Linked DNA regions of Tamandua tetradactyla. The protein of the gene in region 1 interacts with the protein of each later gene in a pairwise test. Links are inferred from orthologs where the notes say so. Each region holds a gene or a part of one and is shown in the gene's direction. Other genes may lie near its edges. The genes, in order: VPS52, AIRIM, TBC1D22B and GOLGA1.

The links.
Region 2: the proteins of VPS52 (region 1) and AIRIM interact in binary tests that used the Homo sapiens proteins (3 or more experiments, as listed by UniProt). The two-hybrid records come from large-scale screens. The link is inferred for Tamandua tetradactyla from reciprocal best matches to the Homo sapiens genes VPS52 and AIRIM.
Region 3: the proteins of VPS52 (region 1) and TBC1D22B interact in binary tests that used the Homo sapiens proteins (3 or more experiments, as listed by UniProt). The link is inferred for Tamandua tetradactyla from reciprocal best matches to the Homo sapiens genes VPS52 and TBC1D22B.
Region 4: the proteins of VPS52 (region 1) and GOLGA1 interact in binary tests that used the Homo sapiens proteins (3 or more experiments, as listed by UniProt). The two-hybrid records come from large-scale screens. The link is inferred for Tamandua tetradactyla from reciprocal best matches to the Homo sapiens genes VPS52 and GOLGA1.

The regions. Positions count from the first base shown.
Region 1 is NC_135331.1:89,201,929-89,209,082, reverse strand, and holds the start of VPS52 (vacuolar protein sorting-associated protein 52 homolog), read left to right. Parts: upstream 1-4,144; 5' UTR 4,145-4,432; coding exon 4,433-4,522; intron 4,523-5,332; coding exon 5,333-5,417; intron 5,418-5,580; coding exon 5,581-5,633; intron 5,634-5,819; coding exon 5,820-5,895; intron 5,896-6,083; coding exon 6,084-6,151; intron 6,152-6,425; coding exon 6,426-6,601; intron 6,602-6,958; coding exon 6,959-7,109; intron 7,110-7,154. Other genes in the region: RPS18 (small ribosomal subunit protein uS13), read right to left, coding at 3,429-3,527, 3,988-3,990. UniProt on the Homo sapiens protein: Acts as a component of the GARP complex that is involved in retrograde transport from early and late endosomes to the trans-Golgi network (TGN).
Region 2 is NC_135328.1:187,625,295-187,633,177, forward strand, and holds the start of AIRIM (AFG2-interacting ribosome maturation factor), read left to right. Parts: upstream 1-4,883; 5' UTR 4,884-4,910; coding exon of another isoform or gene 4,911-5,039; 5' UTR 5,040-5,175; coding exon of another isoform or gene 5,176-5,272; 5' UTR 5,273-5,281; exon of another isoform or gene 5,282-5,292; intron 5,293-5,371; exon of another isoform or gene 5,372-5,590; 5' UTR 5,591-6,096; intron 6,097-6,271; exon of another isoform or gene 6,272-6,274; 5' UTR 6,275-6,277; coding exon 6,278-6,552; intron 6,553-7,883. Other genes in the region: CDCA8 (borealin), read right to left, coding at 2,668-2,708, 4,911-5,039, 5,176-5,272. UniProt on the Homo sapiens protein: Part of the 55LCC heterohexameric ATPase complex which is chromatin-associated and promotes replisome proteostasis to maintain replication fork progression and genome stability.
Region 3 is NC_135331.1:94,153,332-94,161,079, forward strand, and holds the start of TBC1D22B (TBC1 domain family member 22B), read left to right. Parts: upstream 1-4,729; 5' UTR 4,730-4,880; coding exon 4,881-4,936; intron 4,937-7,748. UniProt on the Homo sapiens protein: May act as a GTPase-activating protein for Rab family protein(s).
Region 4 is NC_135328.1:47,074,860-47,082,306, reverse strand, and holds the start of GOLGA1 (golgin subfamily A member 1), read left to right. Parts: upstream 1-4,428; 5' UTR 4,429-4,545; intron 4,546-4,560; exon of another isoform or gene 4,561-4,986; intron 4,987-5,328; exon of another isoform or gene 5,329-5,378; intron 5,379-6,260; 5' UTR 6,261-6,426; coding exon 6,427-6,561; intron 6,562-7,447. UniProt on the Homo sapiens protein: Involved in vesicular trafficking at the Golgi apparatus level. Involved in endosome-to-Golgi trafficking. Mechanistically, captures transport vesicles arriving from endosomes via the protein TBC1D23.

The DNA.
Region 1 (7,154 bases):
GGTAGTATGGCTTATGAGCTCTATAGGATAATGTATGCAAAGGGCTACTCAAAGATTGTGTTCCAGTTTCCCAAGAGGATACCTTCTGAGTTTGTCCTTCAGCCATGGACACTGCTGGAAACCAGATTCTCATCCTGGAACCTTATAGCTCACTCCACAAGTAAATGGGTGGAGTGATACCCAAAAAGACAATGAGGCTACTTTTGATTGGCTAGGTCACAGTAAATCCTAGGATTTTCCACCCATTTCTGTTTATTTTTTCAGTATTATATTTAACAAAAATAAGATTATTTTTTCAGTGAGACCAAATCCATCTTAAATGAAAGAAATTGATGTGAATAGAGAAATTAAAGAAAATCTAACAAATTACTCCTTGTGTCCTTCAGGAAGCTTGTCCTGTTGACAAAATGGTGACAGTTAAAGTTGGTGATACGTTACTAAAGTTACCAACTTATTTTCTAGAGAGTAGACAAAGCAAACTTGTTGCTATATGCTTTATAATTTGGATTCCGTTCCTCCTGTTATAACTCCCAATACTTGGCAAACTTACTGTTTTTCTATTTTTGCTTCCTTGTATATTCTTACTATATATTTTTTGGACTTCAAAGTTTTGAACATCTTTAGACCTGTTACAGAGCCAATGATTACTGATTAGATGATTATTGTTATTCTAAATAAAGTCACATTACTCTTGAATTAAAAAAAGAAACAAAATTCTTTTTGCAGGTCACTGGATCCCCATGATCAAAGTCTTCCAACATCACCATTGTCATTTGTCCAGAGATGACCAGGCCCTTGGGAACTACCTACTCAAATCAAACTCAAAAGAAACTAATGCTTACACTGGTGCCATGACACCAACACCAGCACAGGTGTCCCACCACCCCAATTCATGAACCAAGAGATGTAGAAAGTGAAGGATGGTGTATCAGCTTTAACAGCACAGGCCCCACATTTACACCCACCCAAGACCTCAAAATGTGACCTATTTGGAAACAGGGTATTTGCTGATATAATCAGTTAAGAAGAGCTCACACTGGATTACTGTGAGAGGACACAAGGGAAAGTCATGTAACAGGCAGAGTTCAGAGTTGTAGCTATAGGCCAGGAAATGCCAAGGATTGTCAGCAATCACCAGAAACTATGAGGAAGCAGCATTCTCTATAGTCTTCAGAGGGAGTATGGTCCTCCTGACACACCTCGATGTCAGGCTTCTGACCTCCAGAACTGTTGAGAATTGGTTGTTTCAAGCCACCAATCTGAGGTAATTTGTTATGGCAGTCCAAGGAAACGAATGGATATTTCCTCTCTGTTAAGTGACTGAGGAAACCAAATTATCAAGAGGTTGCTTCACAAGAGTTTAGGGTCTTTAAGTCACTCTCAAATTTTCTGAAATATTTACCAATAAAAGATTATTATCTGAGACTTGCTTCAACATGGAATATGGGTAGGGGTATAGATGAAACAAGATTTAAAATTTTTAGCTAAATGGTGCATCTGTGGGAGTTTGTTCTCTTTACATTTAAATATTTACATTCTTCACCCTTCCCTGGCTAATCTTGCTCTCTACTCCTTTCTTTAACTTCTCTGAGGAATTCTTCCCCATACTCATCCCTTTTCTTACTCAACCTTTTTTTCCAGTTTCCAAGTATTACACCACCCTTCCCAGACCTGTAAAGGAGCACCTCGAACCTTTAGTTTTCTCACAAGGCTAGATGCTTTTCCTCAGTATTCACTGAGCATGATCCATCTCATCACAGGCTCTCCTAAGTAACTGAAACTGCCTTGGTTAAATTCAGTTTTTCCACGCATCTAAATCGACTACAAACGTTATGATACACATTTAACAGAAGTAACAAATACAGTATCAGTCAATTTCAAAGAGGCAGAGGACAGGGCTAACAGTGTTCCTGCCAACCACGCCCACTTTTCACATTCACTATCTCACTTAAGCTGCCCCCGCTCACATTCACTATCTCACTTAAGCTGCCCCCGCAACTGCAATAGTTCCTGCAGCCAACACTGCCTTACTAGTTTCACAGAATGTCAAATAGAAAGAACTTAAGCTTCTATATTAAAGAACAAATGAACTACAAATTCAGACAACAAAGTTCTTAAATTCTAAGTATTAAACACTAACTTAGTTACCATTTGATCAGCTGTCAAAACTGTGAATGTCCTCAAAGTATCAAGTAGAGTTCTCACAAATATCTATATTGCCATAGCAATAACCTATGTAACTAAATCTTTTCATGATTTCAGGAAAATAAGAAGATACAAATATTTTTACAATTAACATATGGAAATCTTAACCACCTAAAATGGATATCTTAGTTAGCTTATCCATAGGCATATTTAAAAAAAAAATTAAGTAATCACTCTAAAGCCTGTTTGTACAGTGTGTTCCATAACCCAATTTAAAACTGAAGCAAGGGAGGAAAAGAATCTATGGATACAGATATCAGAGTTTCTTAAATTCTAAATACTAAACACTATCTTGAACACCATTTTATTAACTATCAAAACTGTGTGTATTCTCAAAATATCAAATAAAAAGTTATTACAAATATCGAAAGAAAGATGGAAAAAAAAATCAAGGGATCTTGCAGGACTTTGTACGTCAAAGCTAGGACTCACAACTTTAAATTGTATCCCCTCTTTGAATTATTAGCCAATTGAAATTCCTTGAAATCAGGCAAGTTTCCCTAGTACCACCCATTCCCTAATATTGAATGAGAACCTGCAATACCCTAGAACCTGGGGATTGTGAACACAGGCCGTGCCCTGACCCCATGGAGTATACATATACTGGTAGGCTAGGAAGACACTCAGCTATTTCCACAATTACAAATTTTAGTGAAAATGATAGGCAGAATGTCTCCGCTTGTACTTAACCATTTCTTGCGCCTCCCACCTGAGCTGAAAAGCAGCATTTATTTTTACCTCTGGCATCTGAGTTTTGTAAAATGTCCCTCTCAGGACTAGTGACACCTCTCCTGCCCCCTAAATTAGGTTTCTTCACACTTGACATTGTTGACATCTCTACTCACTCAAGATGTATGAGAATTATCCAATTTTCAGAGCACACTTATTTAATAGTAACAGTTGTTGATATGATGCAGTTGGGGATTAAAAGTGAACTAAATCTAGCATGGATCTCATTAGCCAAAAGCTCAGGAAATGCCTGAAGAAACTCTAGCAATTTCAAGCAGACAATCATACCCCCATCCACCAGGTGAAACATTCTGGCTTGACCTCAAACTACCCTGTCTTAACATTGCTGGTTCCTGCTAAGAGTATTAGTCCCTCACTTAACTGCTTCTTTTCTTAATCCAGCAGCCAGCATGATCTGGATCTCCTCAACCATGCCTCCTGAGATCTAACAACCCAAGTTGCACTTATATTCCCTACTCCTTACCCTACTTTACCTTAATGGCAGTGATGGCAAAGGCTATTTTCCGGCGCCCATCGATGTTGGTGTTGAGTACTCGCAAAATGTGCTGGAACTTCTCAGGGATCACTAGAGACTGATTGAAAGAGATTGGGGGAGAAGTCAGACACCATGACTAGGATCACATTAAGGCACCTAAGACGAACGAAAAACTTCAAACAAAAATGTTAAGATTGTCACAGAGGGAGCAACGACCTCCCCCATTCAGATTCACAACACAGCAAACTCCTCAGTCCTGCAAACAAGAACAAGTTCAGGTCCCCTCCTCGTTCCCAAAAGTACACTCCGCGTGGCGGACACGGAGGTTACCCACACGCCCAAGCTTTTCGCCGCTTTCGTGCCCCCGGGGAGCGACCCTTCACTGGGCCCCGCTCTCTAGAATTGGAAGTCTCTGGTCGTCCCTTCCCAGGGAAGCGATCCAAGGCTCCACACAAAGCTGCAGTCCCCTAGGTTGAGGTGTTCTCGGTCCTCTGAGAGCAGATCTTCCCTGCCCTGGTTCCGATGTTATCGGATCCGGGCACGAATTCCAAGCTTACCATGGCTGCAACAGAAACAGCGGCGTGTAGGCCTCTGTGGAAGAGAGAGCGGAAGTGACACAATATACTTATATAGCTATTAGGCGGAAGGGTGGAGCTAACTGGGAGAAACACTTCCGGAAACTTCCCCGCACCAGGAGACTCGACCTCTGAGTGGTTGGCTTGAGGGTCAAAACTTCCGGTGCGGTCTCCTCTTTACAGTCCGTAAAGTTTTTGGCTGTGGCAGTAGCGAAGGTTCCGGAGTGAGATTGTCTTGAAGACTTCCGCACTCCCATTTACGCATGGCTGAAGTGACTATAACTGAAAGGGAAGGCTGGAGTAAAACAATTTAACTTAAATATCTAGGAACGGTCTCGCGCTGTGACAGACATTCTGCGACTGGTAGTTCAGTTCCCGGGAACGGACTTGCAGAGACTGACAGCTGCCGGAAGTGAGGCTGCGCGGAATGGCCGCGGCTGCGACCATGGCAGCAGCCGCCCGAGAACTGGTTTTGCGGGCGGGTGCTGCGGATACGGAGGAGGAGGAGGGCCTGCTGGTGAGAGAGCTCGGGGCTGTTTTCCCTTCCCGGGCGCCTTACAGCTGCCCTCGCATCAGAAAGACCTAGGGTGGGTTTAGGCACAAGGGTGGGATATTGGCTGCTAATGGTGACACCACCTATTCAGCTGCCTATAACCAGTACCTGGGATCAGACCTGAGCGGGGAACAGAATGGCAAGACTCTGGTTTTGGGGGCACAATTTCAACTTCCTTTCAGATTTTGGGGCAAAATAGAGAAGCAATTCTAATTTGTGTATAGTGTAAAGGATAAGAGCGTGATCTCGGGAGCCAGACTACCGGGGTTCGAATTCCAGCTCTGACACACGCTGTGTATCTGTGGGCAAATTAACTAGCTTCTCTGTGTTATTACTTTCCAAACCTATATAGTGAAGAAAATAATGTTACCTACGGTATAGGTTGTCGGGAGGATTAGATCAATGAACAGTGGCATCTGGCATGTTGCTTGCTGACATTTTTAGAAAGTCTGAGGCTCCCCAAAGGGGTTGTGATAGAATATCCGAGATGGCAGGGGTCCATCTAAATTCATCTGCAAGGAGTGCTCCGCAACTCCTAATTTTGTTCACTCAGACACCTCCAGCCTGTCATGTGTCTGCCTCCTTTGTTATGTTCCCGATCCATCAGCTCCAAGTAATAGATGGGATAATGTGTTAGACTCTTGAAATTCTTTGACTCAGCACTTATGGCTCTTCAGTAGAAGGCTTTTCCCTCCACATGGGGAGTTGGGGATGTACTTGTATTATATATATATTTCTTTCTGTACCATCTCCCGTTAACTTGTCCCTCTCCAGGGGGGTGGTCCTGGGCTTCAGGAACCACTGCAACTTGGGGAGTTGGACATTACCTCGGATGAGTTCATCCTGGATGAAGTGGATGGTAAGAGATGGCATGAGGTGGATGTGGAACTGAAAGTCAGCATGTGTAGAACCTGAGAGGCATGGGGACTGGAAGGAATAAGGCAAGGATTGGTACGCAGATTCTCAGGATTGGGAGAGGGAGCTATGGAGTTAGGCCCTTTATGATAAACTTCTGTTTCCAGTTCACATTCAGGCAAACCTGGAAGATGAGTTAGTAAAGGAAGCTCTTAAAACGGTGAGGCTTTCCACTGTACTGATCTGCCCCTCTACCTACCCTTCCCCCAGAAAAAAGAAAAAGAAAACAACCCTTCTTCTCTCATAACATCACCCTGATGACTCACCCTCCAGTTCTTCATTGATTTTGTGCCAATGTTCCTTTGATATGATTTTCTCCTGACCAGTTATCTTTATGTTCTCCCAGGGTGTGGATCTCCGTCACTATTCAAAGCAGGTTGAACTGGAGCTACAGCAGATTGAACAGAAATCCATTCGAGATTGTATCCTCCAGCAGAGTTAAGGGGTAGTGTTATTGACATTGGGATTTGCAGGGTGTGTTCCAGACAGCCCAGCCAGGACTGAGATCTTCTCCTTGAGGTTTCTGTCACCTTGAGGAAATTGGAGAGGTCCTGCAAGTCTGAGGATTTTCCATCTTTTCCATGAGGACCCTTGACTTTTTCTGGGTCAGATATTCAAGAGAGTGAGAACATAGCATCTCTGCACAACCAGATCACGGCTTGTGATGCTGTTCTTGAGGTTAGTAACCATGACCTCACTCCTCATAACTCAAAACTAGACCATAGCCTCTGGTGCCATTCCCTGGGTTATTGGACTCAGGTGGGAACAGGTTAGTTACTTTCAGGATGACCTCCACAACCTTTTTTGTTCTTACTGTCAGAGTTAATGTTTTTTCTTTGTGACCTTTGGGGTACCTCTTCATCATCTGGGGACTTCATCAAGTGACTTAAGTGTCCTGGTTGTCCAATTAAAACCCTGTGGCACTCCAGAAACATCTTCATCCCCCTCTTAGCGCATGGAACAGATGTTGGGAGCTTTTCAGAGTGACCTCAGCTCCATTAGTTCTGAGATCCGGACACTGCAGGAACAGTCAGGAGCCATGAACATTCGGCTTCGAAACCGCCAGGCAGTCCGAGGGAAACTTGGGGAGCTTGTCGATGGTCTGGTGGTGCCTTCTACTCTGGTCACGTGAGTCACCAGTTTCAAGGGTCACAGTATCTATAGCAGGTTGATGGGCTGGGATGACCTACCCACTTACCAAATAGGTCTCCTCAATCTAGGTCATCAAATGACTATCAGAAGTTGGTGTGTAGGTTGACAACTCTAATATTGATACATGTTTTGACTTTAAAGATTGGGAGTTGTCCAAAGTCAGATATGTAGTGTGGAGGCCCAAGACTTATATGGGGGATCCAGGAACAGAAAAATTTGTACATATAAAAAGGTAAATGAGACAGAGGCTAGATATAAAGATTATAATCTGGATCTGGTCTAGGGATTCCTGAGTCTCCCTCCTAACTCATCCCACCTCTCCCTGCTGTCCAGGGCAATTCTTGAGGCTCCAGTGACAGAGCCCAGGTTCTTGGAGCAGCTGCAGGAACTGGATGCCAAGGCAGCTGCAGTCAGAGAGCAAGAGGCTAGGGGCACGGCAGCCTGCGCAGACGTCAGAGGCGTGCTTGACCGGCTTCGGATCAAGGTGGGAGTTGGGGTGGATTCCCTGGAGACTGCTAGAACCAGCCTC
Region 2 (7,883 bases), on another chromosome or scaffold:
CAGAAAATGATACTACGTTTGGAGCTCTCAAACGGAAACGAAATACTGAAATCATGATGATGGGAACTCGTGAGGAGAGCTTGGAAGATGTCTGAGGTCCACCACCTGACAAGGATGATCATGTCATTGACTTGGATATTGAAGATGAAGTAGTTGAAGTAGAAAATAAGAAAGAAATCCTGCTGAAAATTTCTTGCAGAGTTAAAGAATACAAAGTGGAAGTTCTGAATCCTCTCCAGGGAAGGGAAAAAGCTTTTGGTATTAGCTGTTGATTATACATTATTTGGCCACAGGTCTTGTGTAGAGACTAGGTTAGAATTAATGCGGCCCTATCTTCAAGAATTCCTAACACCTGAATATGAGGGTTATGACATTGTTATTTGGCCTGCCACAAATATGAAGTGGATTGAAACTAAAATGAAAGAACTGGGAGTAAGCAAAATGCAAACTGTAAGATTATCTTCAAGTTGGACAGTGCTGCTATGTCAACAGTACATACTCAAGGAGAGGATTAATCGACATAAAACCTCTTGGTGTTAAGTTTTTGGATTTTACAGTAAAAAAAAACACCATTACGTTTGATGACATAGGAAGAAACGTTCTAATGAATCCCATAGAATGAGCTAAAGATAAGACCTTTTATGAAAGCTCACCTAAATCGAGATAAAGACAGAACTTTTAAAATTAACTCAGTACTTCAAGGAAAGAGCAAAATTAAACGACTTCTTGGAGCTAAACCACAAATACTGGTAAAGGTATTTTTCAAAGAAACAAGGACAGTAGTTGTAAACTATAAAACTCATACTTGAGGTCCATGAACTTGTTGCTTTTATGCTAGAACTCATTATGATAGTGCCAGACACTGAAGCAAATGCCACACTGCTTATACTTGGTCTTCCAATTTTCTGTAAATTTAAGTTTATGTTTCTTGAAAGTCATAACAATATGCTAAAATAAGTCCATTTCCCCTCTCTATTTATATATACTGTTACTACTGAAAATTATTTTCTCCAGTATTGATTACTGAGCTTTTTTCCAAAAAAAAAAGAGGAATGTATACTGTCATTTTGTGACTTATGAAACAACATATCTTTTATTTTGTCTCACTAAGTCTAAGACCAAACCCATCTCGAAACTAGTGTTTTCCTTTCAAAGCCAAAAGAAAAAAAAGAAGTTTTTGAGTAGGAAAATTAGTTTGGTATGCTTAAGATTGCCAATAATTTTTTTATCCCTTTGTCATACACATAATTTCTCTTCTGTACTCTATTATTAAGATCTCTGAATTCTAAGCTGTCTCAATTTGGTCTGTATGTGTTACAGTATTCTTCGAATTAAACTGGAAAATATTAGCTATGATTCAGATATAGTATGAGAAATAAACCTTAAGACTGAAGAATAAAGCTAAGGAACAAGAGTGTCTCTTTTTGGTGGCTAAACAGAAGCACTTCTACCTACAGCCATTGTCATCAAAGCAGATAAAGACACTAATTCAGTGGAACATATCACTGATTCATTCCTATAAAGCCTGAACAAAAATTCTTTTCTAGCAATACCTTGTCTATGTAAAAACACTGTGTTTCAATGAAAATATCTAGCTTTAAGATTAAAAACTATATATTTGCAGCTCTTAAACCTGCACTATAGATATGTGATGTGACCAGTTTGTTTACAGTATTGCTTTAAATAGTTCTTGTATTTGAAAGGAAGCTAATCCTTTCAAATAAACTTGGTGCATATTGTTCTTACAGGACTATTTCAGAGAGTAAATAATAGAATACCTTTTCTTTAAAAGATAAAAATAAATAAATACGTGTGTTATGTGCATATGAGTATGTATGTATGTATATGCAACAAACATTATATATGCACTTAATATTTTTTCCAAATGTTTGCATGCTTAAAAAGTATTTTGTTTGCTTTGCTTGTTTTTGACTGCATTTGTGGTTGTAGCTAATCTCTTTTCAGTGCAATATAACAGTTTGTGTGACTATATCACAAGGGATTTATTCATTCTCCCATCGATAGTTTTTTGCTACTATAAATACTGCTACCTTGAACTGTCTTATATATGTCTCTGGAGCACACATCCACGTTTTCTCTTGGCTATATACTTAAGGATAGGGCAGTACAGGGTTGTAGATTATTCAAGGGTTCAGCCTTGATATTATGCCAAATTGCTTTTCAAAGTGGTTATCCTTGTTTACATTGCTTCAATATTCAATACAAGTTCCTAACGATCCTCTACAATACCTGGTCCTGTGTCATACTTCTCACTCTTGGCAAGTCTTGAGACTCTCAATTATCATGAGAAGCCTTCTTCAAAAAGGCTTCCAGTGGCCATTCTAATTAAATTTGCTCACAGTGGTAACTACCTGTATGTATGGGTATAGCCAAGAGCAGGCATGATTCCAAGTCCTTTCCTCACAGAGCACATACAAATATCAGAGTAGTAGTTACGGCAGGAATGATAAAATCTGTTCTATAACTCAGAACTCAGAACTATTCGGACTTCATGTACTCAGCATCTGATACTACAATTTTTCAGTTGACATGAACAGATAATGTTCCCTATGGATCTCTTCCACAACAAGCAACCATTGGTTGGATTTTATGACTAGACTAAGGATAAAACTAACCAACAATTAAAAAATAGGAGCGGTTACTTACCGTTGCTGCCTCTTCTAAGGCCTGCTTGTTTCCTCCAAGGGCTTTAAACAGAACATTTTATTTAGTTACTATCAGATTTTAACAATAACTCACCTTCCCTAACACTATCAGTTATTTCTAAAACTGGACATGATTAAACCCTTGGGCCAGAATTCAAGAACCTTTACAATCTAATCTTTCTCCAACCTTGACTTCTCCTCCTATTCATTATGACCTACTCTGTGTTCCACCACATTAAGCTTCTCATTTCCCAAATGTGCCACTGTCGCTCATGACTTAGTGCCTTGATACTTATTATTTCCTCTGCCTGCAGTACTTCTCTGAACCCAGCAAACTCCTAATTCATCCTTAAAACTCAGGTCAAATGTCATCACTTCAGAAAGTTGTCCTATGTATCAAACAATCCACCTACCATGCTTCACTCAATCTCAAATCCCTACTCTACAGATACGGAAACTGAGGCTAAAGAGACTAAGCAACTTGACCAGGATCACAGAGCTGGTATATGAAAGAACTGAAATTTGAACTCAGGTCTACCTTTTCCCTAAATTTTAGCTTATGTTTCTATAAAGCAGGGTGCTACAAAGAGCTAAGTTAGTTGCTCACCCTTTTCCTCCACAACAACTACTCGAAGTTGTTCAGTATCTAACTTTGCTTTGGGCTGTGAATTCCTTGAGGACAAAAATAATATTTTCATAGTATCTGGCAAAAATCTGGAATATGTTAAGTGTGCAGCAAATATTTGCTTAACAAAGAGATCTTTCAAAGATTTAGAAAGAGAATATAAGTTAGGATGGGCCCTCCTGCTAGAAACTCTCATAGCATTCTTCCTATATAACAGTTAAGAACTCAGACTTCGGAATCAGAATGTCTGGGTTCAAATATTCTGCCACTAACTAGCTTATGAGCCCTTAAGCAAAGTAACTAATCTCTCTGTGCCTTAAAAGAGATAATATTAATAATTAATAGGCTTATAATCAATAAGTTTGTTATGAGGATAAATCTAGTAAACATACGTAAAACATATGGTATAATGCCTGTGTGACATAGTAAACATGACAAATGTGCTTACTGACTGCCACTCAATTTTAATTATATAATAAGTGTGTGAACTTTTAAATGACCCTACTCCACTAACATCAGTTCCTGAGGGCAGGGACAAGTGTGTTTTATTCCTCAATGCACTTTTCAGCACCTAGCATTTTGACAGATACCTGCTCAATGAGTATTTGTAGAAATGAGCAAATGACTAAAAGAGTAAGCTAAAAGGATCATTACATGTCTACTGCATACACAGAACCTGCATTTCTATCCAAGGAGGCTACCTACTGGGTAATTAAGAATAGAGGAAAAATTAAGGATAACTTAGCACAAAGGGCAGCCTCCTGCATTTCCTTAGACTTTTAACAAGGCAGTGGGGAAAAGACAGATTTTCCTCTGGCCAGGAAAAGTCTCAGGTTCTTGTACTACACAATTTGACTTGGCCATTTTTAAACTGGCGGTTTTCATAATCTGCAGGAAGCACTGCCTAGGGGTTATCCCTCTACCTGGGCTCTAATAACAAACCAAGTTTTTCATTTAATCATTTAACAAATATGTATTGAGCACCTAGTACTTGTCAGCTCCTCTTCTGGCTACAGATGAAACAGACAAAATTCTTACTCTGCCCTTATGGATTTACAATCCTGGTTGTAGGGTGAAAGGATATGTAACCAACAAAAATAAATACAGAAAATATATATTAGACTAAATCAGGGGTCAGCAAACTGCTCCTGTCTATTTTGGTATGGACTGCAAGCTGCGAATGCTTTCTACATTTTAAAATGGTTGGAAAAAAATGTCAAAAGAAGAATAATATTTCATGACACTTGAAAGTTATGTGACATTCAAATTTCAGTATCCATAAATTTTTTTGTGGAACACAGTCACGTGCATTCCTTATAGCTGCTTTGGAGGTAAAATACCAAAATTGAGTAGTCGCCAGAGAACCTTCTGGCCTACAAAGTCTAAAATATTTACTATCTGGCTCTTAATGGAAAAAGTCTGCCTACTCATGGATTAGATGGTAATAAGTGCTATGGAGAAAAATAAAGAGGCGCTGGGCAGGAGGGCTGCAGTTTTCAACTGCTGTCAGGGAAGACTTCACTACGAGGATGACGTTCGAGCTAGTCCTTTATAAAGCCTGTCACGGTAACCACAAGGGGATCCAGGCCAAAGCCTAGGGCCATTCCAGCAGCTCTTACCGAAGTAGTCCAGCCAATTCATCTCGCGCAGGGCCTTAGGGAGCCGCAAGATCTCGATGTTGTACAAGTTATCCATCTCTTTGAGGAGGTTCTGCCTGTCTGACTGAATCTGCTTGGATCGCATTTGCACTGCGAGAGGACAGAATCAACAGGATACGGGTCACCCGGCGGGTGAAAGGGGCCTGGAATCTTGCTCCCTGCTCCCCAACCCACCAGGGCCCAGCCATCGCCCGGGAAGCCGCGACCACCCGGCTGTGCCCCTTACCTTCGCGGTCGAAATCCTTGAGAAAGGAGGCGAGCTTCCGGCTCCTCAAAGAGTTGGTCTTGGTGGTTCGTCTGCTGCCCTTCCTCGCAGGAGCCATGACGTTTCGGTGGGTGGAGGCTACGGGGAGGGGGGACCGAGTCACAAGAGGTTAGTGGGGCAGTAGAGAGAGGGGAAATAAGGGGGCCGCGACGGGGCGGAGGGGTGGGGGGGGGGGAGGCCGGATAGCGTCCCAAGGGAGTCAGTAAAGGGGATTCCCTCCCTTCCGGGCCCGGGCTTAAAGAAGAAGCAAAGCACGAACCTGCGGGTCCCCAAACAAGGGCAGAGGTAAACCTGCTCGCTCCGGCTGAGACGGACTGGCTCTGAAGCGAACCGGACCTACAATCGCCGCCACCAAATTCAAATCCAACTTCCCCAGGTTAACGAATGAGGAGTCGCCGTCTTAGAAAGGTCCCACAACATCCAATCACCAGGAAGCTCCAGTATCCGGCGGCCAGTCCGCGCCCGGGACTACAACACCCAGAAGTCATTGCGGGCCGACGACGCTCGTCCGCGGCTCGCAAGACCAGGTGGTCTAGTGAGGCGCTCTCGGGGAGGTCGCTTTGGGGCGGGTGCAGAAGGACGCGAGCGCGCGGTGGCTGTCCCATCGGCTGCCGTATCTTTGGTTGTCTTAATTTTAGGTTTTTTCCCCCTGGTTTAGGGAAAGGGGTAGGCAGCTTCAAGGAGGGGAGATAAGATTCCGGATCCGGGAGCATCGGTCTGAGGGGAATACAGAGTTTCTGCCCCGGGAACCCGCATTCTGAGCCAGGAGATTGACCTACCTCTGAGAGATAGTCGGGAAACCCTGCTCGAGGTGACAAACAAAAGGGACTCTTCCCAGAGCCCTTTGTGAAGGAAAGACAACGCTTCGCGCCGGGAGCTCAGGTCTGAAGGGATAGACAGACCTGCGTGAGGAACCCCCTGGTTGGAGGGTGGAAGCCAAGAGCTTGACCTCACAGGAGGACGAAATAATTCCCACCCTTGACCCCGTTCTCCCCATTCTGACTTGGGACCTTAACACTTGTTGTTGTTTGTTTCTGTTTTTTGCTTTTGTATTCAGCAGAAGATGACTCAGGACCGGGCATCTCTTGCTGTGCAGGAGGCCCTGAAGAAGTGCTTTCCCGTGGTGGAGGCGCAGCACAGCTTGTGGCAAAGTACTCTGAGGGACTGCCAGCCCCTCCTGGCTTCCCTCAGCAACTTGGCAGAGCAACTACAAGCCGCTCAGAATCTGCGGTTTAACGAGGTGCCGTCGCTCCGGGCCTTCCCGGACTTGAAGGAGCGGCTGAGACGCAAGCAGCTGGAGGCTGGTGACACTGTCCTGGACAAGCTCGGGGAGAGGATGTAAGAGGCTCAGAATTTTTCACAGAAATATTTTGAATCTGGGTGTTTGATCAGTAGCCAGCACCTGTCAGAGAGTGTTTATCTCCTTACATGAGAGTATGACATTAGAGAATTCTCATCCTTCTTTTTCTGCCTGCTTAGCTGGACCTTTGTCAAAAAGCCATTTTCAGACATTTTCCTTGTCAGAGGCTAATATGGTAGTGGTGAAATTAGTTGAGGTCACAAAAGCGGAACAGAAAAGCTGGTATCAAAGGAGTGGAGGAAGCTTATCAGCACTAATTGATAGTTTTTTTGATGAAAAGCAACGAGGAGCTATACTGTAAACCTAGTAGGTGTCACAGCTAAGGCTTATTTTGTTTGTTTTATGCTGTCTTTTTTATTAGAGAAGTTGTAGGTCTACAGAAGAATCACACATAAAATACAGTTTCCATGTACCACTCTACACCTTGCATTAGTGAGATACATTTGTTACAATTGATGGAAGAACATTTTTACAATTGTACTGTTGTTAAATTGTCCATGATTTACATTAGGCTCACTGTTTGAATCATATGGTCCCATATTATTGTTGTTTTAAATTTTTGTTCTTGTAACATATATACAACCTACAATTTCCCATTTTAAGCACATTCACGTACATAATTTAGTACTATTAAATGAGTTCACAGTATTGTGCTACCGTCACTACCATCCATGACCAAAACTTTTCCATTATCCCAGACAGAAACTGCACATTAAGCGCTGATTCCCTTCCCTACCCCCATCCTGTCCCCTGGTCACTTATAATCTAGCTTTTGACTTTGAATTTGCTTATTCTAATTATTTCACATCTGTGAGATCATACAATATTTGTTCTTTTGTGTCTGACTTATTTCACTTAACATGATGTCTTAAATGTTCATCCATGTTGTGCCATACATCAGATTTTCATTTCTTTTTCACAATATTGTATATATACCACATTTTGTTATTCATTCATCTTGTTACTTCCATCTTTTGGCATTTGTGAATAATACCACTGTTAACATTAGTGTGCAAATACCCGTTCGAGTCCTTGTTTTCAGTCTTAAATAGAAGTGGGATTGCCACTTGGTCATTTGGTAGTTCTATACTTAACTTTCTAAGGAACCCGCCAGGCTCTCTTCCACATGGCTGCATCATTTTACTTTTCCACCAACAGTGCCTGAGTCTCCACATCCCCTCCAACACTTGTAATCTTCCACTTTTTAAATAGTAGCCATTCTAGTGACTTTTAAAATATTAGCCATTCTAGTGGGTGGGATGCGGTATCTCATTGTGGTTTTGATTTGCATTTCCCTGGTGGCTAATGA
Region 3 (7,748 bases), about 5.0 Mb from region 1:
CCATGAGCTAAGAATGGTCTTTACATTTTAAAATTGTTGAAAAAAAATGGACAGAAGAGCAATATTTTGTGATGTGAAAATTATATGAAATTCAAATTTCAATGTCCATAAATGCCATTTTATTGCAACACGGCCATGCTCATTCATTAACCTATTGTCTATGGTTGTTTTTATGCTACAATGGCAGAGTTAAGGACTTGCAACAGAGATTGCATATCCTGCAGAATCTAAAATATTTACTATCTGGCCCTTTATAAACAAGCTTGCCAACCCCTGGTTCATTGCATAACTGATATATTTCACAATAATAAAAACTATGGCAGTATTAAAGAAAATCTCCAGAAGAAAAAGATCTATAATTCTACCATCTAACAAAAATTGCTTAATTTCCCATGTTTCTTCCAGTCTTTGACCATACATTTCAATGTATTTTTATTGAAATCAAGCAATGGTATTTTGCATTCTGCAGTCTCCTCTCTTTACATCACACTATAATCCTTTTCCACGTGCTACGTAGCTTTCAACATTTTTAAATATAATTATTAGAGAAGTTGAAGGTTTGAAGAAAAAAATCATGCATAAAATAGAGTTCCCATATACACCTTGCATTAGTGTGCTCCATTTGTTACAATTCATTATTTCAACACTTTTTCATGGCACAATATGCTCATCAAATTTATAAACCACATACCATAATTTGTATAACCACAACCTCATGTTTAAATCTTAATATTATATTCCCCCCCCCACATACACACTATTTATTATTGGTTATAAGGTGCAGAACTTCTTTATGCACAGAGCTTTCCCCCCTCCTTTTGACTTAATATAATAAATTCCTAAGAACAAAGTACCTAATCTTTCTTTCACCCACATCCCAAGCTCTAATCACTCTGTCTTCCCTTCTTTATTTCAGTAAATTCTTGCTTCTTCAGATTTTCGTATATCCCTTTGCCTTCTCCAATATGACTGATTTCTTTCATTTGGCTTTTTCTAGTTGGTTAGATACCAAAAAAGCTCTCTTATCCTTAAATCCCAGCTTGATCTCACCATTCCTTTGTTGGTGCAACATTCTACAGTGCATTATGAGGGCTGTTTCTTGCCTAATTTCTTAACCCTTCCTGTCATCACAGTGTCTACATCCTTCCACTTCATTCTTTTACTGAGGTTAAAGTCCACCAGCACTCTTTGTTATTAAGTCTAAAGGCTTTTATTCTCTCTTATTATTTTCCTCACGGAGCATCTGCTCTGAAATGACCTCTCTACTGTTCTTCAGGCTGTTCTCTTTCTTTTCCTGCATGTCCCATCTCTTACATAAAACTTTCCCTAAGCGTTGGGAAATACGACCTCTTTTTAGTACAAACCCTGCACAGTTCATTCCCTTAACTCCACTTTGCTCCATTCTAAGTTGTTTAATTCTTATTATGAATGAAGATGAGGTTAAGGAGAGTCCTTGACTTGGTTTCAAAATAATTAAACACTTCAGACAAATTCAAAGATCACAGAGCTATTAAGAGAAGATCTACAAAGTGAGGGCCACAGTTCAGCAGCATGAGTGTCATCTGGGAATTCTGGAGAAATGCAGAATTGTAGGCTCCAGCCAAGACCTACTGAATTAGAACTAGACTTTTAATAAGGTCCCAGGTGATCTGTATGTACATTAAATTATGAGAAGCATTGGTCTAGTGAACATATATGTCTGCCACTAAGAACCTCCATCAAGGGAGTGCAAGTGTGGTTCAGTGGTAGAATTCTTGCCCGCCATGCGGGAGACCCAGATTTGATTTCTGGCTTATGCAGTGCTCCCCCACCCCCCACCCCCCCAAATCAACAAATGGTGCTGCAATAATGGGACATTCACACTGAAAAAGGAATGAAATGTGACCCCCACCACACAGCATACAAAAAAAAAAATCTTCCATCAAAAAGGCTCCAAGGACACCTTGGGAACATTAAACCAGTAATTTTCACCTCTAGCTGGGCAATGTTTGGTGTGAATTTGGCTGCAGGAGATGGAGACAGACAACAAACAAATAATCTTTGATATACAGTGTAGATTTGAGTCCTGGGTAGGTAGGTGGTCTCCTTCTTATATCACTCCAGTATATTCTTCTGAAGCTGCAAAAGAGTTTGAAGAAGATTGTGTTTCCCAAGAGAGGAAGATGGTTCTTCAACCAAAGGTTTACTCAAGCTTATAGGATCTTTGGTAAAATGGACACGTCCTATTAGGCGACATGCTTTCTCTAACAATTCCCAACCAAAAATGTGTACGGACAATGTGCTGCTTTGAAAGGATGTATGGCCCCTAGAAAAGCCATGTTTTAATCTAAATCCCATTTTGTAAAGGCAGAATAGTCCCTATTCAATACTGTATGTTTGAAACTGTAATCAGATCATCTCCCTGGAGATGTGATTAAATCAGGAGTGCTTGTTAAACTGGATTAGGTAACGACATGTCTCCACCCATTGGGTGGGTCTTGACTGGTTTACTGGAGTCCTATAATAGAGGAAATATTTCGGAGAATGAGAGATTTGGAGAGAGCAGAGAATGCTGCAGCACCACGAAGCAGAGAGTCAACAAGCCAGCAACCTTTGGAGATGAAGAAGGAAAATGTCTCCCGGGGAGCTTCATGTAAACGGAAGCCAGGAGAGAAAGTTAGCATGACGCCGTGTTTGCCATGTGCCCTTCCAGCTGAGAGAAAAACCTTGACTGTGTTCGTCATGTGCCTTCTCACTTGAGAGAGAAACCCTGAACTTCATCAGCCTTCTTGAACCAAGGTATCTCTCCCTGGATGCCTTAGATTGGACATTTCTATAGACTTATTTTAATTGGGACATTTTCCCGGCCTTAGAACTGTAAACCAGCAACTTATTAAATTCCCCTTTTAAAAGCCATTCCATTTCTGGTATATTGCATTCCGGCAGATAGCAAACTAGAACAGATGTAGAAAACAGAGTAAGAATAACAGAGCTTCTTTGTGTTGAACAATATTAATAGCATCCCTTGGGAATCAGTGTTATTTAACATTTCATAAATGATTAAGAAAAAGAAATACTTTGAGACATAGGCACACAAATTATATTCTGCTTTCTGCCTAGTGAAATGTCAAGTCAATAGGGACATCTTCTGGGACATTTCTAATGCAATGTGAGGATGCTGGAAAGTGGCAAGTGTCTTGCCATGTGGACAAGTGTAAGGCAGTGTACGTAAGAAAAGACAATTCAGATGATATATTTAATGTTATGAACTCTGAACTGCCAGGTACCACCAAGGAAAGGAATCTAGAAGTCGCCGTAGATTATTCCACCAGGACATTAACTCTTCTAAAGTCCAAAAATGCCAGCAAAGTTTCTGGATGTCCAGAATAAAGAGATAACATCAGCTTCAACAAAAATCCACCCATTTGGGGGCTCACTGTGCAGTGCTGGCCACGGCATCCTAAGAAAAAGAGCCATAGAAAGGCGGCTAAAGTGATTTAAAAGACAGAGGTGGTTTTGTTTAATGGATTTAAGGCCCATAAAGGTGCTAGTTGAGAGAAGATAAGATGAAAGTCTGTAAAAGCATGAACGATTCAGGAGACTAAAAATAGCCCTTTTCATACAAACCCATAATTCTAAAATTAGGGGTCAAAAGAAGCTTGGCATTGGGGATAAAGTCTATGTAGAAAGTGGCCATTGAAAACATATAAAAGAAGGTCCTTCTTTAGACAGGAGGTCGTTAAGTATACTCCAATACATACTCCAAAAACTACTCTGGACCTCCCTTCATCATGTAAATATTCCCATGGTATACAACCAGGGAAACTCAAAAAAAAGCAAAACCACCAAGAAGACATTCAAAAGATTCAAAATGATAATATTAAATCTTATTCTAAGTCAAAATCAGATTGAAAATAAATTCAAGGGTGAATGATTTATACTAGACTAAAAGGGAAATTAAGGATGTTTGGGGTTACATCCTTATTCTTTGTGATTTACACTATAGAGGGATACTATGTCCTCTTAAGAAATAGTATGTGGTAGTCTGAATTGGATGGATAAAATAAGAACATTCCCTAAACACTGTTTTTTAGTATCTAGATTCTCATAGTCAGAAAATCAGAATTATTGATTGAAACAGGGATTAAATCATTCGAATTTCATCTACAACAAATTCCTTTCACAGTGCAATTAACAGAGGCCAGGGTGACTGATAAAATAACCGTTACTCACGTGTAGAACAGTTAACTCAGTTATTGGATCCGTACTGACTCTACTTTACAGATAAATAAGCGGGATCCAAACAGAACCTGGAAGGGGAAGATAATAATCACAGTGTTACTGAGTCGGGAGATGTTAAAAATGGGCCATAATCAACACATGAGTCCTTGACTTTTAGGTCGAAGATTTTTTATATGTATACATACATACAGATCACGCTCTCTCTTAAAAACATATATATATATAAGACTCAGAAACACGAGAGACCTAATTTCTCCCTAAGAAAACGGAACCCTTCATCTTTCTCATAGGTCCCTTTCTTTACCTGCTTCTCCTCCCTTCCCGGAGGTAGCAACTTTCAGCCCCGCCTTCTTGCCTGTTCACGCTCCGCCTTCCCCGTCCACCTGTATGCCCGGCTCATGACGTGGCCGATCGCCTTCAGGGGCATGCAGGATTCGGGCTCCCGATTGGTCCGTGCGTCCACGGCCTCTGCAGCCCACCAATGGCAGCGGCGCTGGGTGGAGGGGCGCCCACATCCAAGATGGCGCTCCCTGGCGCTGGGTGCGGGTGACCGGCGGCGGGGAAGCGGCCTGGGTTGGCCCTCCGGTTGCCGGGTCTGGGGGCGTCTGGCCGGGTCCCCCAGCTAGGCCCGCCTACAGCGCTTTCCCCGGGCTGGAGCCATGGCCGCCGAGAACAGCAAGCAGTTTTGGAAGAGGAGCGCCAAGCTGCCGGGGAGGTGAGCCCAGGACCCTGAAACGGAGAGGGGATTGGATCAAACCTCTCCAGATGCTAAGCCCTAAATCCCGCGGGCCTGGGGCGCCCCCGAGCCGGGAAGGCTGGCTGGGGAAACCCGCTCTAGGGGGGCGGGGGCTGCCGGGGGGAGGCAGGTCTGCTGTCAGGCAGAGGAGTTGGGAAACGGCTGAGTGTGGGGGCAGACAGGGGTCTTGGGGCGGAGGTCTCCAAGGGGGTGCCTGCCCTCAGAGCAGACCGGGTGTAAGGGGAAGTGGAGTTTGATGAATAGCCAGTGTCGGCCCTGGGTTCGGATGACCATCCCAGGGCTGCTTCCCACTTTGAACAGAATTCCCTTCCGGGGGTCGTCACCTTGCACAGGTGGTTGCTTGCGTTGAGGATAGCCCCTTCCCTTATTCTCCCAGTTCCACACGTTTGAATCTTTCTCCTGGACTCGTAAAAGGTTCTGGTAGGAGCTCGGGCTGCCTGTAAGGGACAAAAAAAGTGAGGAAAATCCTCCAACCCGACCGTACTTTATCTCAAGTCGGCCCTTTTCCATTAGGAATTATTACAAGGTGACCCTAGAATCGGGGCTTTTTTTTTTTTCCCGGCATTTTTCAGGTTTTTGTCCATTGCCTACAGACCACCCTCCTCCCTGCGTGGTAATATTCGTGTGCAAACGTACTAATTCTGAATTCTTTCATTCCTCAGTTTAGTTGGAGAGCAGACCTTCTAAACTACTTTTTTTCGAATTTGTGCCTTTTTAACGAGAGAAATGAGGGCCAGTGATGACTATGTAGCAGTCTGATTTTATTAGGATCTTGTTAGACCTATAGCGAATAGGATGGGAATCAACTTTTAGTAATACATTATTAAAATAATGCAAAGATAACTTCGGATTGTAATGCTGTGGAATTACAGTGTTAATATTAGTGCTAAAGACTTTTGATGTTTTTAGATAAGCACCACTTCCTGCCAACTGATTCCTTTTCCTTCCTGATCTGGTGAGCTCTCCAGTTGTGCTAACTTCTGTTCTCTGGGGTTTTCCATAGTAAGATCATTAAAATTTGACATCCTCAGATAGTAATCAGAATTAAAGGGAAAACTGTTAAATCAGGAAGGAGTATATGAGCTTTGGACATGGCATGGTCTTTTGTGCCTACTGACTGCTGGTTGCTATTAATGATCTTTTGTTTTCCACACTTCCTCTTTTGGACTATAGGAACAGTCAACTTTTTGAAAGCACTGCTTTTGTGAGATAGAAAGAAGAGTCTTTATTAAATTTCTTCAAGTTTCTGACTTCTTTTTTCACTTTAAAGAGGAATGTAGAGGAATAGAGTAGACCATTTGATTTAAAAAAGACCTCGTCTCTTATTTACCTGTGCCACCAAGGACAAATACTTAATTTCTCTAGACCTCGGTTTTCTTATCTGTGACATGAGGATAACAGTAACTTCCTCAGAGTTATTGTGAAGACTAAATGAAATACTGTATTTGTAAAGAATCTAGGAGAGAGTTTATATAGCATATTACAGTTGCTTAATAAATAGTAATTATTAAAATTGCTGTTACTGTTAGAGCAAGTAAACTTAAAAGCTTGTTTCTCAAGTTCTTACCCTAGTATTAGGGTTTATTGTTTATTCTTAAGGTATTAAATTGTTGCCACACTTCATAAGATTTTTTGATGCCTTGTTTGTTGAAGAGAAACATTGTTCAGGTCTGAGCTTTTAGCAGGGAAGCCCCAGACACCCCTGTTTATGGTAGACAATTAAGGTTCTTTTAGATAGAAAGGTGCTTTGATTTAAGAACTTTACATCTGTACTCTTTCAGTTTTAGTGAAAAAAACCTTTCTCCTGTGTGGAGAAATGAAACAAATGGCTGTATGCTAAGATCATGACACTCTAGAAGTGAGACTAGTTTACTCTGCAGATTGAAAGGTAAAAAATCAAAGTGATGGCAGGGTACTTCAGAAAGTTTCAGAAACTTTCAGTTTCTTTGATCAGGATCTAGAGACCTTAATGACAACAATAGGAATTTTATTTAGTTAAAATAACCTAGGTTCAAAATTAATTAAATGCCTCGTTTTTTCATTGAGAAATATTTACACACATACAGTCTAACCATATTATACAATCAAGGGCTCACGATATCATATAATTGTGTATTCTTCACCATGATCATATTTAGAACATTTGCATCACTCCAGAAAAAGAAATAAAAAGGAGAAAAAAAGAACTCATCTCACAGCCCTTACTCCTCCGTCTCATTGACAACTAATATATTTTGATCTACCCAATTTTTACCCTTTATCCCCCCTATTATTTATATATTTTTTATCCTTATTCTTTTACTCATCTGTCCATATCCTGGATAAAGGGAGCATCAGACACAAAGTTTTCACAATCACATGGTCACGTTGTAAATGCTATATAGTTATACAGTCTTCAAGAAACAGGGCTACTGGAACACAGCTCAGCAGTTTCAGGTCCTTCTAGCCACTCCAGTTCACCATAAACTACAACAGAATATCTATATAATGTATAAGAATAACCTCCAGGATAACCTCCTGACTCTGTTTGAAATAAATGCTCTTTTATTAAAAAAAAAATAACAGTTTTAATAGGATGAAATTCACATACCATAAAACCCTTTTACAGTGTACAATTCATTGCTTTTTTAAGGGTATTCATAGTGCTGGGCATCCATCACCACTAATTTCAAAACATTTCCATCACCGCAGAAAGAAATGCATGCCTCTTAGCAGTCACTTCCCATTACTCCTTCCTTCCAGCACCTGGTAACCACTAATCTATTTTCTG
Region 4 (7,447 bases), on another chromosome or scaffold:
AAATTTTTTGTGATAACGTATAACAGCAAAGCAACTTTTTACCCCATTATTCTTAAGAATATTAAATATATCTGGCCCAATTATTAAATTATTTTAAAATAGAGTAGTGAGATTAAGGAGTGAGTTTTACTACCTCAAAAATGTTAGATTCGACTCTACTTTTTTTTAACAAAACAGCCACTAACTCATAACACTTATAAATTACAATAATAAATTTAAAATAAAATTTATAATAGCATTTTCTTAAATGTTGATAATGTACTATTTCTGAAAAATCAGTGAAAACATCCCAGGGTCTGATATTCTGTTTTTTAATTAAAAATTTATTGCAATTAGAGAGTAACAGAGGATATGTTATGCTATTAAAAATTAATTAAATTGACTTAGCATCAGTGTGCACATTAATTTCAGGAGAGTGGCAGCAGTAAAAAAGTTCAGTAGATAAGGCTAACATTGTGAATATGATCTCCAACCCTAGCATTTGTAAAGCCAGTTACTTTGTAGTCAGATGAGATAAGAATTAGAAAATCAAGACTTTCCCTCCTTTATTATATCTCCTGTATACTTATACATTGATATTTATATTTATTTTGCTGGGCTTCCCAGTTTTCCTGAATACTATGTGCATTTTGCATTTTTTTTCAAACAATTCATCTTCTCCAAAACCAGAATTGTAAAACATAATATTACACCATATCCTAGCCTCATTAAGTTTTGAACACAGAGATCTATTTAAGCATGTCTTGTGTTTATGAAAAGATCATTGATGTGTGACTGAAATCAGTCACCTAGAAGAGAAGAGTATCAGAATGATGTAGGGGGATAATATTAAGTATAACTTAATCTGTTGTTGCCATAGCTGTAGACATGAAATTTTTTTTTCGTTAAAATAGGCATTTTTCACTTACTAGTTTTGTGTAATATTGATTTTTAAGAAGACTTCCATTTCTACAAAACATTGTTACTTAACTTGATTTAAACATCCATTTCTTAATTTTATAATATTTTTATTTTCTTCTGTGCTTTTAAAGTTAGTTATCAAACTACTCTAAGTAGTGCAAGTTTTAACAAAGTCAAACAGTAGATTCAGGACTTTTAAATAGTTTGAAGTACACTGTATTAAGTATACACTCCAGATCCACTTAGTTAAACCTGAATTTGGTGCTAGAATTGACTATAAATTGGGAGTATTTTTCCTATTTTAAATGAACAATAGCCGTCTATATCCTAAGACAGTCATCCTTTTAGGTATGGCTAATTGTTTATTGAGACATAACATAAGTTATTTCAGGGGTCAGATTTAAAAAAAAATTTTTTTCTTTTCAGGTAGTCTTACAGAATAAAAGTTGATAAACTGATTGTTTCAATTTCTGAGTAAGATAAGGAATTAAGGCTAGCCTTTCCACAGAACTTCAGTAAACTTTAACATTTTGTCTTTTTACTTAAATATCCTGTTTTGAAGCTCTTATGAATGTCTATTTGTTCACAGCTGAAAATTGAGATTTGTAAACATTATAACTTGAACCATAAATTTCCTCAAACATCAAATCAGTATGATCAACCATTGTAAAATGTGAAATGATCGTATATGAACCCAAAGTAAATAATTCCAAAACATAGAGGAATGACCACTGTATTTTAAAAGAATCCCATCCTCTTTTGCACATTATTAATTTTTTTCTAAATTAGAAGTATGTATTGTGATGTATTAAAAATCTTCAGGGAAAAATGTTTAAAATGTTTTAGGGCAATAAGAATTTTTATTACTATTTCTTGAAGAATAAGTTGGTTTTTACTCTTGATTCTTTATTATAACATCATTTAAAAGAACTTCTAATGATCAGTAAAATATTTTAGAACTTGATTTTCATGGTTTTTTATAGTTATCTGGATGCATTCCTTTTGCCACATAGACCATATGGTTAGTTCTCCAAATGCTTTTTGTTTTGAAATAAACTTTTCTATTCAACAATCAGAGTCCTATATTTTTGAGGATTCTTCCAGATGAGGTAGACAGGTGTTAGATAATAGGAAAGGCAGATGCAGTGTCCTAACATTTTCATAATACAGCTTATCAGTGAAGGAATTTATTTAAATAAGTTATATTCATTATGTAGCATCAGTGTAGACAGTGGTTTCATTAATCAGTGAATCACATGATGCAATTTAAGTCATTTTGTATTTTGCACTGATTATTTTAATTTCAGGCCACATTACTATTATCTCTGAGCCATTTTCACCGTAAGGTTGAGTACTGTTTTGCTTTATACAAATCATCACCAAAGGTTAGGATAATCAATAGGAGTTAAAATAAGTTATGCTTGAACTCTTTTTCCTTGAAAATAATGGCAACCCATTTGTACCTTGTGGATATCAGGCAGAAATGCACTTGTTTAAATCATAGCAGAAATTACATTTGGAGGATATAGTTCCTTGATTTTCTGGTGGTGTGAAATACTTTTTTAAAAATTGTGCTTGTCTGTAACTGAGATGTAATACTTTAAGGATTATAGAGTTACATTAGTTCTCCTCAAGAGACTGAAGCACAATCATTTTCTCTTAACAGTTCTTATCCAAGTGCTGCTAATCTGTAGTGCAAATAATGAAGCTTGGTTGTTTAGATCCAGCTCTTGCCAATCACTGTAATATTACCTTGACATTACCTTGTTGCTCATTTGTATTAAAATTTGAACACTGTGGGTTAATACTTTAGAACAAAATCCATCAACTCAGCTCTGTTAGACAGCAAACCATTTGGATTCAGTCATTTTTATACATGTTATTAATCAGTAGGATAAACTTTGAAGGAGCTATTTACTACTGTTGACTAAAGGGGAAATTATATTGGCAATAGCATTTGACTTGAACATTTGTGGTATTGTAAAATCTTGTCTCCTGTTTCTAATTTGCTTAAACCGTACATACTCTTAAACAAGGATGTTTCCTGTTTTGTTCCTTTACAGTAGCCTTTTTCTGCTTTGTTATGGTTAATTCTTAATAGGTTTTAGATATTGAGAAGTTATTGAATCATTTTGTTTTCTGGAGCTCATCAGTTTCAACTTTTGTATGATATGTGATATGTAACAAAGGACAGCAGCCTTTCAGTAACTACTAAATGAATTTCAGAGTCAACACTGTTTCTGCAGAGCAGATTCAGTAGGCCCTTGTCTTTCCAATGTTTTCTTCTGTTGTATAGTGCCTGCCACCTCAAGGGCGCTTTATATTAGAGGATGGAAAGTTAAAAATTGTTTTGAGGTTTAATGAATAACAAATTATACAACATTTGATTTTTGTTGTCAGTGTATTGAAGTCATTTTTGCATTGATAAATGTTCTCTTGGAATGTGACTACATTCATCAGATGTGAACTGTTGTAAATGAATTTTGTATCTTGAATCCACATATATAAGTGTATCATCAACATAAAAATAAACAGTTTTGCTTAAATTTTTGGTACTTCAGTATTGTTGACGACTTAGACACTTACCTGTTATGGTGTGCTTCTTTCAGACAATACTTGAGATGCTTTGAACTATCTTAGGGTTGTGGATTAGATGCTTATTATTCTAGTTTGTAAATTTCTTCTGAGTCCTGGTCTTGATTTTTCCCTGTCCTGCTTCTAGTGCTCAGAAATGAACAAGCAGAGGCCAGAGGTGGAAGCTGCTGACCCTCGGACTGGCTTTAGGTCTCACGCAAGAACAAGATGTCTATTAACTTGTAATGCTTGGCGTGGCACTGAGGAGTCAGATCTCACGTCCGCTACTAGTTTGCAGTGTAACTTCGAACAATTAAGTGGATAATAAAATTAATGAAGTGGACTCTCATCCACTTCTCTTTTTAATAGTGTATCAGTGCATTACATAATAAAGGTATACACTATGTGTGTTCCGGGTTGCCATATAAAATGTACAACCTATAGTAGGTCAGAAGCACACAAGTTAAAACACTAGTACAAGGCGCAAGTTCCCACTACTAGTTTCTGGAGCAAAGGCTCCAGAAGAAGGAGGCACAGACAGTCGGTGATTATGTACTACCTAGTGACAAGGCAGACATGTGAGATGCAGTGGACTGGGATGCGCGAAGAGGAATGGAATGGAAGCTCCCTGTTGCCCCGGATTTCTATCCAGCACAGCCGACTTTAGCCCTACCACACCAGTGAAATTCTTTCCCTTTTACCACGAGACCCTCATACTTTCCTCGCTCCGCACAACTTTCAAATAAAAAGAAGGGAAGAAATTACTCGGCAACAATCGTAATCTGTGTACCCCACAGCTCGCTGACGTCGCTTGCAGGCTGTAAGCAGCGTCAGATACCAAACCTGCATAGTCCGGCCGTTCCGGCCCAACCGTCGCTTGAAAGTTCGCACCCAAGGCCCCGGAGTAAGTGCACGAGCGCATGCGCGAGCAACGACTTCCGGTGTTCTGGTGGAGGTGCGGTTCCGGGTCGCTGCTCGGCCGGCCGGCTGGCTGTGGGGGCTGGTGACGCGGTCCCGCGCTCAAGAGAGGCCCGGGAGGCGGGGCTTTGTCGGCTGCCCCAACAGTGGCAGGTGCGCAGGCGGGGGCTCCGGGTACCGAGCAGGCCCCTCTTTTGCCCTGTGGCCTCGGTTTGCCGCCAGAGCGGTCCGGACGGGGTGCCCGAGACCCTGGGCAGGGGGCCTTACCAGGGTGCTGAAAGGGCGAGGGTGGTGTCGGCGGGCTGCCTCGGCCTGGGCGTCCAGAGCCTCGGGATCCAGGATTCTCCCTGCGCGACCTTGGACAAGTCACTCCGCCTCTCTGGGCCTCAGTTTCCCTGCTGTCAAAAGGAAGAGGCTTTGGGCCCCAGCCTTGTTTGACAGCCCCAAACCCTGGCGGGTTTCCAGAGAGTGAAGGAGTGTGATTCAAACTGCTACGGGTGGCCCTGGTCAGGTACCTACCTGCCTGCCTCTCTGGGCATTTGGTTTACCCAAGTTTGCCATTTTTTTCAGCGGCTTTCTTAGTGCGAGTCAAAGGTCAGTGACCATATATCCCAGGGTCTGGCCAGGTAAATGATGTATGACTGTCAGAATCAGCTGGGAAACCTTAATCTCTTTCAAGTTGTTTTGCTCAGGGCTCCCAACGAGAAGTGAATTTAGGGACCTACTGCAGTGAGAGATTCTTTGTACCATAAGTGTAGCTTTTAAGAAAATTAAAAATGCAAAGAGACTAGGGTAAGGGAGGTTAGACTACTGAAGGTGGTAATGACAGGATTTTTTCCCCCTTAACCCACTCTCCCTCTTCCCACCATCCCCAAATACTGAGGCCTCACACTTGAAAGGAAATATCCAACGTATTTTGTCTTTGTTTTCACGCAGGACAGAATGCTTTGACTTCCAGGCTGTTTTAAATCTAGTAGATAAGCTAGGTGAGTAGGTGGTTTACAGACATTGAAGGTCAAGTTTTGAAAAATTGCACAGACTTAAGTGGATGATCTAAAGGGGTGAAAAATCATTTGTAGATCTTAGAGCAGAACCTAGACAACCTTCATGAAAAATTAAGATTGAAGCAAGAATAGTAGTGTTTTATACATCAGTGGGAGGAAAAGATGCATTAATCTGATGTTAAATATTATTTCAAACATTCTGAAGAAAAGAAAAGTGTGATTTGGGTTAATTTCATCAAACTCAAAAGAGCACCACTCAACATTTCCAAGAAAAGTTTAGGGATTTCTGATACCTATGCAAAATCGACCATGCTTTTTTCTAGGTTGTTAGCCTCTGTTACAGAGGCTTTTCCCCATATTGAGTTACATATATTTTTATTCTCATCTTTTAAAAAAGGCACCAAAGTGTAATTAAACAAATTAGTTTTATTGAGGGAAGGATTTAAAAGCGTTATGTGATGCTATGTTTATCGTGGGAAATTCTATAAATGCTATAGCTGTATGCTATAGCCAACATGCCATTTTATTATTATTTTCAATAATAATAATTATTTAAAAAAAAAAAAAGAATAGGGACTTGTAAGTCAGAAAGACCTGGATTCAGATACCAGCTCTGCCACTTAGCTACATGATCTTGGGTGGATTACTTCATCTCTCTAAGACTGGATTTCCGTATCTTTGTATGCATATGAAGTACCAGAGTGCTTTTTTAAATGTTTAGTATTTGTGGTCTATTAAGAGTACATGTGAAGTTATGAGACTAAATTTTGAAACCTGAAGGTTAACATAAATATGAAACAGATTTCAGAGGTTGAAATCTTTCCAATGTTTAACTTAGAGTTGTCTCTTTCATCTGATTTCTAGATACTGTATTGCCATAAGCCCTTTTACACACATTTAAATGGGAATGCAGCTGGCTCCGATGTCTGGAACTTTTTAGGCACCTGTCACTGAATCCTGGTTGTTGGCCTTAAGGACTATTTGGTGGTTCAAGAGCCAGTCTATAGTGCAGAATATCCACATAGCAAAGATGTTTGCAAAACTAAAAAAGAAAATCGCAGAAGAGAGTGCTGTTGCTCAGAGACCAGGAGGTGCTACTAGGATCCCCCGGTCGGTGAGCAAGGAATCTGTTGCCTCTCTGGGAGCTGACTCAGGAGATGACTTTGTAAGTATCTTCCCTGGTAGTTTTGAGTATTTGGTGCCCTCTCAATTTAATGTTTAAATAATATTGCAGGAAATTTTTGAAATATTTTCTTTTTAAATTGCATGATTATTTCATAGCTTTTGTAGTTTATAGCTGAACAAGACCTTCACATGTGCTTTTTCTTTCTCTGGGGTGCCTTTCTATATCATTTTCTTATTTTTCTGTGAGTCCCTTTCCACATTCTCTACGCTGTCCTCTTATAGTTCTTTTCCATCAATATGCTTTGTGCATCTTCTTTTACATTTAATCTTTCAAAATGCCTGGACTTGTTTTCTCCCTACTTAACTAGGTCTATGAGTTGTGGTATGAGGTTAGCCAGCGTGTACTGTCTTATTGGGAAAGTAGATAGAAATTTGTCAAAGATGTCATGGATGACCACGTGTCTCTTATTTTTAAAGTACCCTTGTGGTTGGAGAGATTCCAGAAAATGAGGAGGCTGCTGTATTAGGGAACTGTCATGCCTAAGGATTAAAGTGTGTTTGGCATGTGGCGGGATCCTCTTAAATCAGATGACTTAAAAAAATGCCTGATAAATATAAAAGAATGTATACAATGTATATATAGAGTATAAAGCATAAAAATTAAATGAAGTCCTGTTAATCTTCACCCATCTGAAGAAATAGAACATTATCAATACTCTTGAAGCTACTGTATGTTCTTTCTTAATTCATTCTCTCCTTCCCATCTCTGTGGATAACCACTATCCTAAAGTTTGTGTGTATTATTCACTTCCTTTTTAACAATTTATTGCTTAGTGCTGCTAATTTTTGAACTTTATAAGAGCATTATATCATAGGTAGTCTTCTTGGAGTTGCTTTTTTTTTTTAACTGAACATGTGTCTCAAAT